Ovis aries: one gene and its partners. The protein of the gene in region 1 binds, or shares a complex with, the protein of each later gene. Links are inferred from orthologs where the notes say so. Each region holds a gene or a part of one and is shown in the gene's direction. Other genes may lie near its edges. The genes, in order: MAPK8IP1, MAPK10 and MAPK8.

Region 1 (3,750 bases):
TCCAGGAGGAACCATGACCCGGAGTTGCAGGGCAGAGGCACTGGAGGGAGCCGAAAAACCATCAAAAGAATCCCTAGAAGTCAACTGTAGGGGCAGGAGGAAAGGCCCCAAGTCTTAGAATGTGAGAAGCCTGCTATGGGGTGTCTGAGTGCAAAAGGGGGTGCTCTGCAGGAAATACAATTGAGGTGCTAAGTGAGGAGAAGGTGACGTCAAAGTCCTGACATGAGGGAGGAGAAGCTGAGAGAAGCCAAAAGGAAAGGCTCAATTCACCATTAGAAGTGTTTGGGGCTGAAAGGGGCTTAAATCACTCTTTAGAGAGGAGACCCTCGGCAGAGTCCTTGGGTGGAGTGGGGGGGGGGAGTCCCCTCAAGGGGTGAGCCCTGGTTCCCAGCTGGAGGTGGGGTGTTCCCAGCCTCCAGTGCCAACATTTGTATTATATTTCATCCTCACGACCATGAGATGGACCATTATCATCCCCATTTCACAGATGAGAAAAAAATCAAGCCTTAGGACTGTTGTAACTAATGTGAAGTCACACCACCTATTCTACTAGGAGAGCCGGGCTGTGACTTCACCCTACCTCACTCCAAAAATCTGTCGGTCCTAGGAGCCAGCATCCAACACCCGCTAGTGTTTCTCTGCCTTCCTCCACGACTCTCCTTTCCTGACTGCCTTCTTTGTCTGCAGCGAGGGGGTCAACTCGGGTCCCAGGGACCAAGATCCCGCCATTAGTTACTGCATACCCGGACGCTAGGCCCACCCCAGGAAGAGAGCCCGCAGGGACACAGAGGGCTTTGCGGAAGGGGAGGCTGTTATTACTGCGTGGGATTGAGGGCGGGGCGGAGCCAAACTCGGGGACCGCGGGGCTGCGACTTCAGCACCTTGGAGAGCGCAGCAGGGGCGGGGCTCCCGGGTAAGGGGCGGGGCGGGGCGGGGCATACCCAAGCCTGGCCGAGGACCCGGGAGCGCGCTCGGAGGCGCTCGCGCCAGTCCCGAGAGCGGCGCGCGGTCTGGAGCCGCGCCCTGCCCTGCGCAGGTGCGCCCGCCGCGCAGTCCCCAGCCGATCCCCGCGGCGGCGGCCTCTCGCCGCGCCCGCGCCTCCTTCCCCGCCGCCGCCGCCGCCGCCGCCTCCGCGCCGCGCTCCGCCCGGATGGCCAGGGCTGTGCGGGAGAATGGCGGAGCGAGAGAGCGGCGGCCTGGGCGGGGGGGCTGCGTCCCCGCCTGCCGCCTCCCCGTTCCTGGGGCTGCACATCGCGTCGCCGCCCAATTTCAGGTGAGGCTCTCCGGCCGCCGCGCCCCACCCTTCAACCTAAATCGATCTGCCCGGGCTCCCCCCACCCCGCACCCGCCTCGCAACACGCACTCATGGGAAACCGCAGAACGAGAGGGCGGCGTGGGGATGGGGTCTCTTCCCGAATCCTCGTCAGCCTCAAGTCTAGACTCATGGCCGATGCATATCCGCGGTGCGGCTCTCTCCGCCATTCCGTGTCCGAGGCGAGGAGATCCTGAGCTGGAACTGGAGGAGGGGGCGCGGAGGCCGCCTTCTCTCCGACTTTGGAGCTGCGGCGGGGTCTGGGGTCCGCGTTGAGGTCCCGCAGGAGGCAGGAAGCCTGGGGCTTTGCCTGCGCACAGTCGGAAGGCTCCTGAATAGAGGATGACACTAGGTTGGGGTGCCCCTCGGGTCCCAGTTTCTTGGGGCGACCGACAGCCTTGGTGCTAGAGAGAGTCGCAGGCCCCTCCCCCAGCCCTGCCTGGCCAGAGGGGCCCAACTCCCAGGCCTGGCGTGGCCAGGACCTTCTGTGCATTGGGACAAGCACTGACCTGGTCAGATGCGTGTAGGTGCCGAACGAAGGCTCAGCCTCAACCCGCGAGATCGAGGCCCGGCTGTGGGAGGGGGAGTCTGGGTTGGAGCCCGCGGGAGTAGCCACGGTTATTGGTGGGGTGGTTCCTGCTGGGGTGAGTACCCTGGATCCTGATCTGAGCTCCTGCTTCAGCTCTCTCCATGCCCCTAGTCTGGCCTTAGGCAACTGGGAGGTGGATTTCAGAGAGGTGGCAGTGGGTGTTGTGGGGGTTGGGATGGACGTCCCTCCGTCCTCATCCTGGCGGGTTGGAGAGGAAGAGGAGGAGGGGTTACCGCTCCCGAGCCCCCAGAAAGAGGCCTCCATTCCCCATTGTTCCTCCATGTAATGAGCTGGTGTCTGCCCCTCTCCTGGGGCCTGCACCCGCGCCGGGCCCCAGCTGGGCTCTGGCGCCAGCCCCTCTTCTTGACCAAGGGGTTTCTGGCTCCCCGGCCCTCAGGTGGGCAGGGGCCTCCAGGGATCGCTAACGGCATCATCTTTAGGACTGGAAATCTCCCAGAAGGCCCGGAGCTGAGCTGCCAAAGACCAGATGGAGAAGGCCGGGCTCCAGGGCTGGGGGCTTTGTGGTTCGAGCCTCAGAGTAAGGAGGCCGAGGTCTGAGACTCACTCCACCGGAGGTGAACTGCGCTGCCTTCCCACCAGCGCTGCCCTCCTTCCAGGAGGCCCCTCTGTGGTGGCTGAGCACAGCCCTGAGACAGACGTGGATGCGAATCCTGGCTCCACCAACTTTCTAGCTGCCTGACCTGGGCAGCTCTTTGGGCTTTCCTCAGTCTCATCTGTTGATGAGCTAATTCATATTGATTCCTTCAGGTGCATCACGCTGGCACTCAACAAGCATCACCCTCCACACCGGCGGGCGCTGAGGCGGCTCATTCCTGCTCGGGGCATGTTCCCGGGGCTGGCTGAGGTCTCCCTCCCCACCACTCTGGGCGTCAGGATGGGCCTGCCCATTTTGTAGATGAGAAGACTGAGGTTCAGGAAGGCGGGTGGCTTCCCCGAGGGGAGTCAGGGCCTGAGGCTGCGTGTTCAGTCCACTCTACCTTCAGGCCCAGCCTGACCCGGAGGACAGCTTGGCCTCCCCACCTGCTTTCCCCTCCGCAGGTGAGAGGGCTTTCCGTCCCTGCTGCCCCCGGCGGGCAGGTTATCCTGGACTCCTGAGGGACAGCGACTGATAAGGAGGGCCCGCCAGTGAGTGTGCCCAGCCCTGGGCCCGGTGGGCCAGGGTGGCACTGTGCCAAGGCTGAGTGTGGGTTGGCCCTCCGGGACACCATGGCCTGGCTGTGGAGATGTGAACAGTAAGGCCAGTGTCTCTGGCCCCGAGGCCTGCCCTGCCGGCTCCAGCAGCCCCCGCTGCCCTTTCCCTGGCCGCCTCTCACAGTTCTGAGCTCGGCTGATGGAGCCCGGGTGGGACTGCGCCCCTGTGGCTCTGGCCTGGCTTTGAATCCTGGCTCCGTCCCTTTAGCCGCATGCTCAGAGTGGGTGCCGAATGCCTTGGGCTGGTTTTTTCTCCATGATGCCTACTTTGGCCCTTGCTCAGGGCGGCCCTAATACTTGGATGAAACAATACATGTTGAGTGTTTCAAGGGCTGTGAAGAGCTGTATTCATGTCGGGCTATTCCTGTGGGTATTATTGTGTGTGTGTGTGTGCACGTGTATGTGCATGCGTGCGTGTGTGCGTGTGACCCAGCACCACTGTCCACTTCCAGAAGGCACAAGACGTCAATACCTAAACTTTGGTTTGCCTGAAGCCCGGCACAGAGTAGGTGTGCAGTGCTTTACTATTTAACCGGGGATGCAACTGGAGAGTTCAGAGAAGAACGCTGGAAACCCTGCCACTTGGGAGGCCTTTGCTCTGCCCAGGCGCCGTTCTAAGCACTTTCTGTGCAAGGGC
Region 2 (3,650 bases), on another chromosome or scaffold:
CATTAGCAGAAATGAATTAACTTTACACTAAAGATGGAGTTATAGAATTAGCAACATTGGAGACAACAGTGCCTATGGTATTGGATTTGAGAATTTCTAAGGCCTCTGTCTTTCATTGACACATGGCAAGGAAATCTATTTGAAATCAACTTCTTCCAGTTGGCTATTCAGAGTTTTCATGAGTGGTATTTATCGTTCCCAAGCTCTAACATATCAAATATCTATGAAAGATGAAAAAGAAAATCTCAATCAGTGGGTGTGCATGTCAAAGACCCCCAGTTTTGGAAGTATTAGTGTTCATAGAGAGGTAATGCTTTCCTTATAAAATTCCCCATGTTTAACATGCTTTTGAAACACAGGCATTTGGATGAAATCTGTCTTGAATTGAACATCCTATGTTTACCTTCATATTTCATTGAATATTACAATATTCAGGATATAAGGCACTATTATCAGAAGTAATAAAATGGGTATGAAACTGCAACTGCTTTGATAAACAGAATCTTTTAAGTCTTTGAAGAACAGTTAATAAGTTATTATCATACTGATTCTATTTGTAATGTGCATGAGTCGAAAAAATTAACAGACGAGGAAATTTCCCATTTTGTTGAGAACAAGAGGAAAAAAGAATCTTATAAAGAATTTAAGAAAAATACAGATGAATCTTATAAAACATTTATTCATCTGTCATTTTTAGAAAATAAATGGAATAATTTCATGATAATATAATTATATGTCATTATAATTTTTCTCTTCCACACTACATGGCTATATAGAAGTTTAACTCAATAAAAGAAATTCTTGCGTTATTTAAATACCTTTCCATTGACACAACCCAAAGACTCTTTCATGATATCATATTTTGTTAAGTAATGCTAATTCCTCAAAAGTGTATGTGTTCTCAAAGTGAATTTAAAATTCCAAGAGGATTCACTGCCTGACAATCTGATTTTATATGTTTGTCCGTTGTTGTTTTTTTAGAACTTCTTTTGTGTTATCGACTGTTCAGAGTTCTGAGAAGCAGTTAGTCTCCCAACTAGTGAAAGGCAAGAGCTGGTGTCCTGCACTTGTTTTTGCCCTTAACTATTCAATTCTCAGATATTGACCAGTGGAATAAGGTTATTGAGCAACTAGGAACACCATGTCCAGAGTTCATGAAGAAATTGCAACCCACCGTAAGAAACTATGTGGAGAATCGGCCCAAGTATGCAGGACTCACCTTCCCCAAGCTCTTTCCAGATTCCCTCTTCCCAGCGGACTCTGAGCACAATAAACTCAAAGGTAAGCCCTTCAGGGATAACTTCAGAACCACCGCGTGGGTGATGCAAACCATAGACACACTTCTCCCAATGCTGGGAAAATTGAGCGCAGGAAGAGAAGGAGGCGACAGGGGATGAGATGGTTGGATGGCATCACTGACTCAATAGACATGAGTTTGAGCAAACTTAGGGAGATAGTGAAGGATAGGAAAACCTGGCATGCTGCAATCCATGAGGTCGCAAAGAGTCGGACATAACTTAGCAACTGAACAACAACCTCAATTTAAGAAGAGGTATTTTTAAAAGATCCTCATTACAAAGGGAAAGTAATCAAGGATTTTAAAATTTTCTGGATATCTAGAGAGAAGACTAGTAATAAAGTGTGTGACAGTGGTATGGGTTAACTATTCACATATTTAGAATCTAAAATTACTTTGCAATGTTAATGCTAAAAGAACAACATTATATAGACATTGAAACAATTGTTCCAGTTATTTTTATATTCTGGAAAATATTTTCAACACAAGATTTTCATTGTAAAATCTTGAAACTATAGATGTTTGAGTTTTATTTGTATTTTACTAAATGCTTAGCCATCGTTTTTTATTTTAGAGTGACAAATGAGATTTTTACCTTCACATTTTGTTTTCAACATAAAGACTTTCATTAATAAGTAATTTTTTCTACTACTATGTCTGCCATTATGAACTTTAGTAATGAATCTTAATTTCTTACCCACAAAATGGAGATCATAATGGCTTCTTTATAGGATTCAAGACATAGAATAAATTTGGCAAGGTATAAAGTATAATGTAAGTAATATTTTAATTCTTATTCTAACTTATGACACTTCAGAAATTGGGGATATGAAGCAAATCTGATTTTTTTTCCTTTGCTGGGGGAAGGAATCCTATCCTTTAAAATCTGTGTGAACCTGGGCAAGTTATCTAATCTTTTTGTATCTTCTTTAACAAACTAAAGCAAGAAGTGTCTATCTTATAGGATCATTGGGAGGATTAATTGAATACTTGGCCAAGCACTTAAAACACTGCCTGTCTCACACTAAATGCTCAGTAACTGTTAGATATAAAAAATAATAAATCTTTATTAATAATAAAATGATTATTTCCAGGGGATCTATGTTGTTGTTTAGTTGTTATGTTGTCTGACTCTTTGTGACCCCATGGACTGTAGCACACCAGGCTCCTCTGTCCTCCTCTGTCTCCTGGAATTTGCTCAAATTCACATCCATTGAGTCAGTGATGCTATCTAACCATCTTATCCTCTGCTCATCTTATTCCTCATCTTATCTTTTCCTTTTGCCTTCAATCTTTCAGAGTATCAGGGTCTTTTCCAATGAGCTGGCTCTTCACATCAGGTGGTCAAAGTATTGGAACTTCAGCTTCCCCTGTGACCCCATGGACTTTACAGTCCATGGAATTTTCCAGGCCAGAATACTGGAGTGGGTAACCTTTCCCTTCTCCAGGGGATCTTCCCAACCTAGGTATCAAACCCAGGCCTCCTACATTGCAGGCGGATTCTTTACCATCTGAGCCACAGGGGAAGCCCAAGAATACTGGAGTGGGTAGCTTATCCCTTCTCCAGGGGATCTTCCTGACCCAGGAATCGAACCAGGATCTCCTGCATTGCAGGTGGATTCTTTACCAACTGAGCTATTAGGGAATCCCCCCACCCCGCCCCGCCCTGCAAAAGGACACACACTCGTGAAATTTTACTGCAAATTGTTCAGTGGACAATTAATTAGTTACAGATTAAATGTACAGACTTAATTTATAGTTAATATAGAATTAAATGAGGTGGAGAAACCAAAATATAGTGTTACAACTTCCCAGGGTCATATTATCTTCTCTAGACTTCCATCTTGTGGTTTTTAAATTAAGTACAGTGTTGTTTCTGTGTCTGTGACACTTTCGTTGCACAGTTGGGTTTCTCCCTTCAGCTACCTGTACCACTCTCTGAATTTTATAATTATTGAATTATAATTATAATGCAAAATCAGCAAATTATAAAGAATTACACAAATAATCAAAGGGAAGGATTTATTCTACTGTTGTTAAAGAGTGTAAGACATTTACTTGCAAACAAAAGAATGAAAGATGAAGAATTAAAATCTTTTCCTCTTCCTCATTTTGTTCCCTACAAGCAGTAGTGACCATTGTTTCTTAGTGAGATGATTTGGTGTTCCAGTGGTTCATTCTCCCATAGATGAGGAGACCACCGCAACCCCTACTCTTCCAAGAACAGAAATGTGGGTGACATGAGAACCCATGGAGTGTGTGAGTCTGGGTATAAAATCAGTTACAAATCAAAGAGGTCTTGAACTAATGAAATAGACACAGACCTGTTAGGTTAACAGTCAGAAAAACTAAT
Region 3 (3,650 bases), on another chromosome or scaffold:
GAAAGTATCTTTCCCTTAACAAAAAACGACTATTTAAAATTTTTTTTATTTTGTTCTTAATTCTTCCAAAGTGTTTAAGGTTGAAATCATATTCCTAGACTAGAATGCAGTACTACAATGAGCCATTAAATCATTAACCAACATGATAGACATTGAAATAGCATCAAAGCTCATAATATTTATTTTTGAACATGCAGTGTTTCTTTGCTGAGGTATTGCATTTTGGAAATCAGGACCACATATTTATAGGATAGCAATGATAAAAATGTTTATCCTCTGTTCCAGTAAGCCTGCTGATATTTATTTTTAATTTGATAAAACCAGTCGATGACATGACAAACCTAGACAGCATATTAAAAAAGCAGAGACACTGCTTTCGTGACAAAGGTCCATCTAGTCAAAGCTGTGGTTTTTCCTGTAGTCATGTACAGATGGGACAGTTGGTCCATAAAGAAGGCTGAGCCTTGGACTGCAGGGAGATTAGACCAGTCAGTCATAACGGAGATCAGCCCTGAATATTTATTGAAAGGACTGTTGCTGAAGCTGTAACTCCAATACTTTGGCCACCTGATGCGAAGAGCCAGCTCATTGGAAAAGACCTGGTGCTGGGGAAGATTGAAGGCAGAGGAGATGGGAGCGGCAGAGGATGAGATAGACAGCATCAGCAACTCAATGGACATCAGTTTGAGCCAACTCTGGGAGATAGTGGAGGACAGAGGAGCCTGGCGTGCCGTAGTCCATGGGGTTGCCAAGAGTCGGACGCAACTTAGCAGCTGACCAGCAGCAACAAACAGGTGGCACCTCTTCTGACGCCATCTGTGACTGCTTGTCAGCACAGGCTAAAGACAGTTACATGCTGCGCTGGATGTAGGCATGCAGGAGTGGTTAACCATCGTTTTTCAGGCCAGTGTTGTGTATTGTTAATCACTGATATTCAGTATGTGTGAATTATAGGCCTGCTCTTTTCGGTCTCTCCGTTCATGATAGGATTCGTGGTAGCTAAAAGGCCAGATGGGTTGAACGGGAAGCCTTGAGTATTTATGCCGCTGCCTTTTTATGATTGTAACATAGAATTCCTTGAGGTTGGGTTCACATGGGTAGCTCTTCACAGACGTTACTTAGTAGCATCAGCAGCAGGTGATTTTATGGATTAGTGGCACCAGGACAAGGCTGTCCTACCTCTGTGGGCAGTCAAAAATTGTATGAACAAATCTGTATGATTTTGGGTGAGAAATCAGTGATGGGAAAACTGGTAATGATTACTTTGGTCCTTCAGAGTTGAACATTTGCCTATTTGAAAAGTCAAATGACATGTGATTGGGTTGACATAGAATGGCCTATTGCTGATACAGAATATCTATATAAAGCTTACTGTGATTTTAAAATGAGAATTTTAAAAGCTAGTAATTTAGTATACAAGTGAATATAAATGCTAACTTATGATTCTCTCTTTATTTAACCATAAAAGTTCTTACATGAGCTTTGAGATGCCATTCCAAATCGCTTTTACACCCCTTGATTGAAAGTATCTAGCTAATCATATTTTCTAGCAAATAAAACATTACTAACTTCTAATAACTACTGTATGTATTTGTAAATTAAAAATGCCCTCAAGCTAGTTTCTCAAATCTGTCTGTTTATGATGAATCTGTGCAGTGGTAACAGTTACAGTTTGAGGAAAATGAACAATTAGCATGAACTGTTTTATGAGAGATCTCATTCATAACGTGTGGACTGCAAAGTATTTGTTTATATCATAGCAGTCATTTTTTGTATTTTTATTTTTGAAGGACTTAAAGCCCAGTAATATAGTAGTAAAATCAGACTGCACTTTGAAGATTCTTGACTTTGGACTGGCCAGGACTGCAGGAACTAGTTTTATGATGACACCTTACGTAGTGACTCGCTACTACAGAGCACCTGAGGTCATCCTAGGCATGGGCTACAAAGAAAACGGTCAGCAAACACTATTTACTTGAAATTCTGTTCAGATTTATTTGCTTTTGTTTATCAGATTTCTTATGTAAATACTTAAATTGAAATGCATAAAGAAAATTATCGCTGTTTGAAGTGTTTATCAAGAGTTTGGAAGTAACTACAAATTTTGTCATAAATGTTTGGAAAAACGTGGGGCCCCTGTTTATTTAAATACAAATACATAACCATCAGTACAACCGTTGGATAAAGAATTTGTTACCATGGCCCCTGTAAGAATACATGTCTAGAATACATAGCATTTTCTTGCCTGTAATGTGAAAATGAGCACTCTAACATGGGCACAGGGAGTATACAGTGGACCCGTCTCAGCACCCGCCATGTCTCTAGTGGTGATCTTGGTTCACATTAGTGGTATTTGCACACGTTTCCTGTCCTGTGACATTAAAGTTAGTAGCAGTAGCACTTAGTGCAGACTTTAAGAGCTACAATAAGGCTGTTCTGTAGAGCTGATGGATAATTAATTTAAGGTGACCTTTCAGAGGAAATGGTGTTTCATCAAAGCCCTTGTGTCCAGCCTTAAAGAAATGGCGTTATGTGCGAATATAGCCAGTTACATAAATTATCACTAGAATTAGGTTGAAGAAAATGCTCAGGCATGTAGTTCATGAATTTTAAAAAAATGTTATACATACACATATTTATACCTAAGAAAGGTATAAATTTGCTGAATCTCAGTCATTTGGAAGATGGATAAGTCTACACATGATTTTATTGACTTTAACTTTTAAAATGAGATAATTAAAAATACTTCATAAAGTAGGACCTAGACATTTTTCCTAGCAAAAGACTCTGAAACAGCAGTTCACTCTGAATCAGGAAACTGTATCAAATCAGTTTTGAGGATTCTTTTTTTCTAAAAAAGATAACTTTGAAGTAAGGATTTTAGCTTAATATTCTTATCTGAGCCAGTTAAAAACACTTTAAACATTTATTATCAGTATTATTCTTTTGTTCTTAAATAAACACGCTGTTCTGTTGTCTTACTCTTGACCTAAAATTGTCTTATACCCTGTAAAATCCAGTGAGTTAGATTTAGTATTATACTTTTTTTTTTTTTTGGAGAATTGCTATTTTAAGTGACAGCATGATCATTGTTTTTTAAAGTATTTGCTGTAAAACCACTGATTGTCATAAATAATGTGCAGTGTGTCACTTTGTCTTGGAATTGTGATCTTAGGCGCTCCCTAGTAGAAATTAGCACCAAGAAAAACTATCATGCAAAGAGTTGACATACTTTCCTTTCTTAGATAAGAATTCTATAGACTCACTTTATTGTGTTCCTTCAGTCTCCAGGAAACTGAGTCAAATATAGTGCTTAATGTTGGTAACTACATCGGCCAGCAAGGTTAAGCATAAGAACTTCCACCTTTTAGTGACGCCTCTCACCCATCCTACACCTGTTTTAATGACTTGTTTTATATATATGTCTTTTATTGCAAGCTACCCTCAAAGCTTTTTGGAAAGTGAGATAATGGGATATATTTAAACTGCCAAATAGCCTGAGCAGTTAGACCTGTAGAGCTCTTTTTATGTTTGAATCAGGCTTTTCATATTCTGAGGACAGTCTTCATTTGCCCAGACAGTGCTTGCAATAGCCTCTCATGCTTGTAGCTTTAGAAATGTTTTAAAATATGTTTTTCTCAAGATTATGT

The links.
Region 2: the proteins of MAPK8IP1 (region 1) and MAPK10 are in contact, whole or in part, in a crystal structure (PDB 3PTG), measured with the Homo sapiens proteins. The link is inferred for Ovis aries from reciprocal best matches to the Homo sapiens genes MAPK8IP1 and MAPK10. Residues at the interface, in NP_005447.1 of Homo sapiens: Pro158, Lys159, Arg160, Pro161, Thr162, Thr163, Leu164, Asn165, Leu166; in NP_620448.1 of Homo sapiens: Asp150, Ala151, Gln155, Val156, Met159, Leu161, Glu164, Arg165, Tyr168, Leu169, Tyr171, Val197, Lys198, Ser199, Asp200, Cys201, Trp362, Asp364, Glu367.
Region 3: the proteins of MAPK8IP1 (region 1) and MAPK8 are in contact, whole or in part, in a crystal structure (PDB 3VUM), measured with the Homo sapiens proteins. The link is inferred for Ovis aries from reciprocal best matches to the Homo sapiens genes MAPK8IP1 and MAPK8. Residues at the interface, in NP_005447.1 of Homo sapiens: Arg157, Pro158, Lys159, Arg160, Pro161, Thr162, Thr163, Leu164, Asn165, Leu166; in NP_001310257.1 of Homo sapiens: Lys83, Asp112, Ala113, Gln117, Val118, Met121, Leu123, Glu126, Arg127, Tyr130, Tyr133, Val159, Lys160, Ser161, Asp162, His286, Val323, Trp324, Asp326, Glu329.

What each region holds. Positions count from the first base shown.
Region 1 is NC_056068.1:74,845,760-74,849,509, forward strand, and holds the start of MAPK8IP1 (C-Jun-amino-terminal kinase-interacting protein 1), read left to right. Parts: upstream 1-1,051; 5' UTR 1,052-1,172; coding exon 1,173-1,273; intron 1,274-3,750. UniProt on the Homo sapiens protein: The JNK-interacting protein (JIP) group of scaffold proteins selectively mediates JNK signaling by aggregating specific components of the MAPK cascade to form a functional JNK signaling module. Required for JNK activation in response to excitotoxic stress.
Region 2 is NC_056059.1:101,634,187-101,637,836, reverse strand, and holds part of MAPK10 (mitogen-activated protein kinase 10), read left to right. Parts: intron 1-1,098; coding exon 1,099-1,281; intron 1,282-3,650. UniProt on the Homo sapiens protein: Serine/threonine-protein kinase involved in various processes such as neuronal proliferation, differentiation, migration and programmed cell death.
Region 3 is NC_056078.1:41,775,312-41,778,961, forward strand, and holds part of MAPK8 (mitogen-activated protein kinase 8), read left to right. Parts: intron 1-1,790; coding exon 1,791-1,956; intron 1,957-3,650. UniProt on the Homo sapiens protein: Serine/threonine-protein kinase involved in various processes such as cell proliferation, differentiation, migration, transformation and programmed cell death.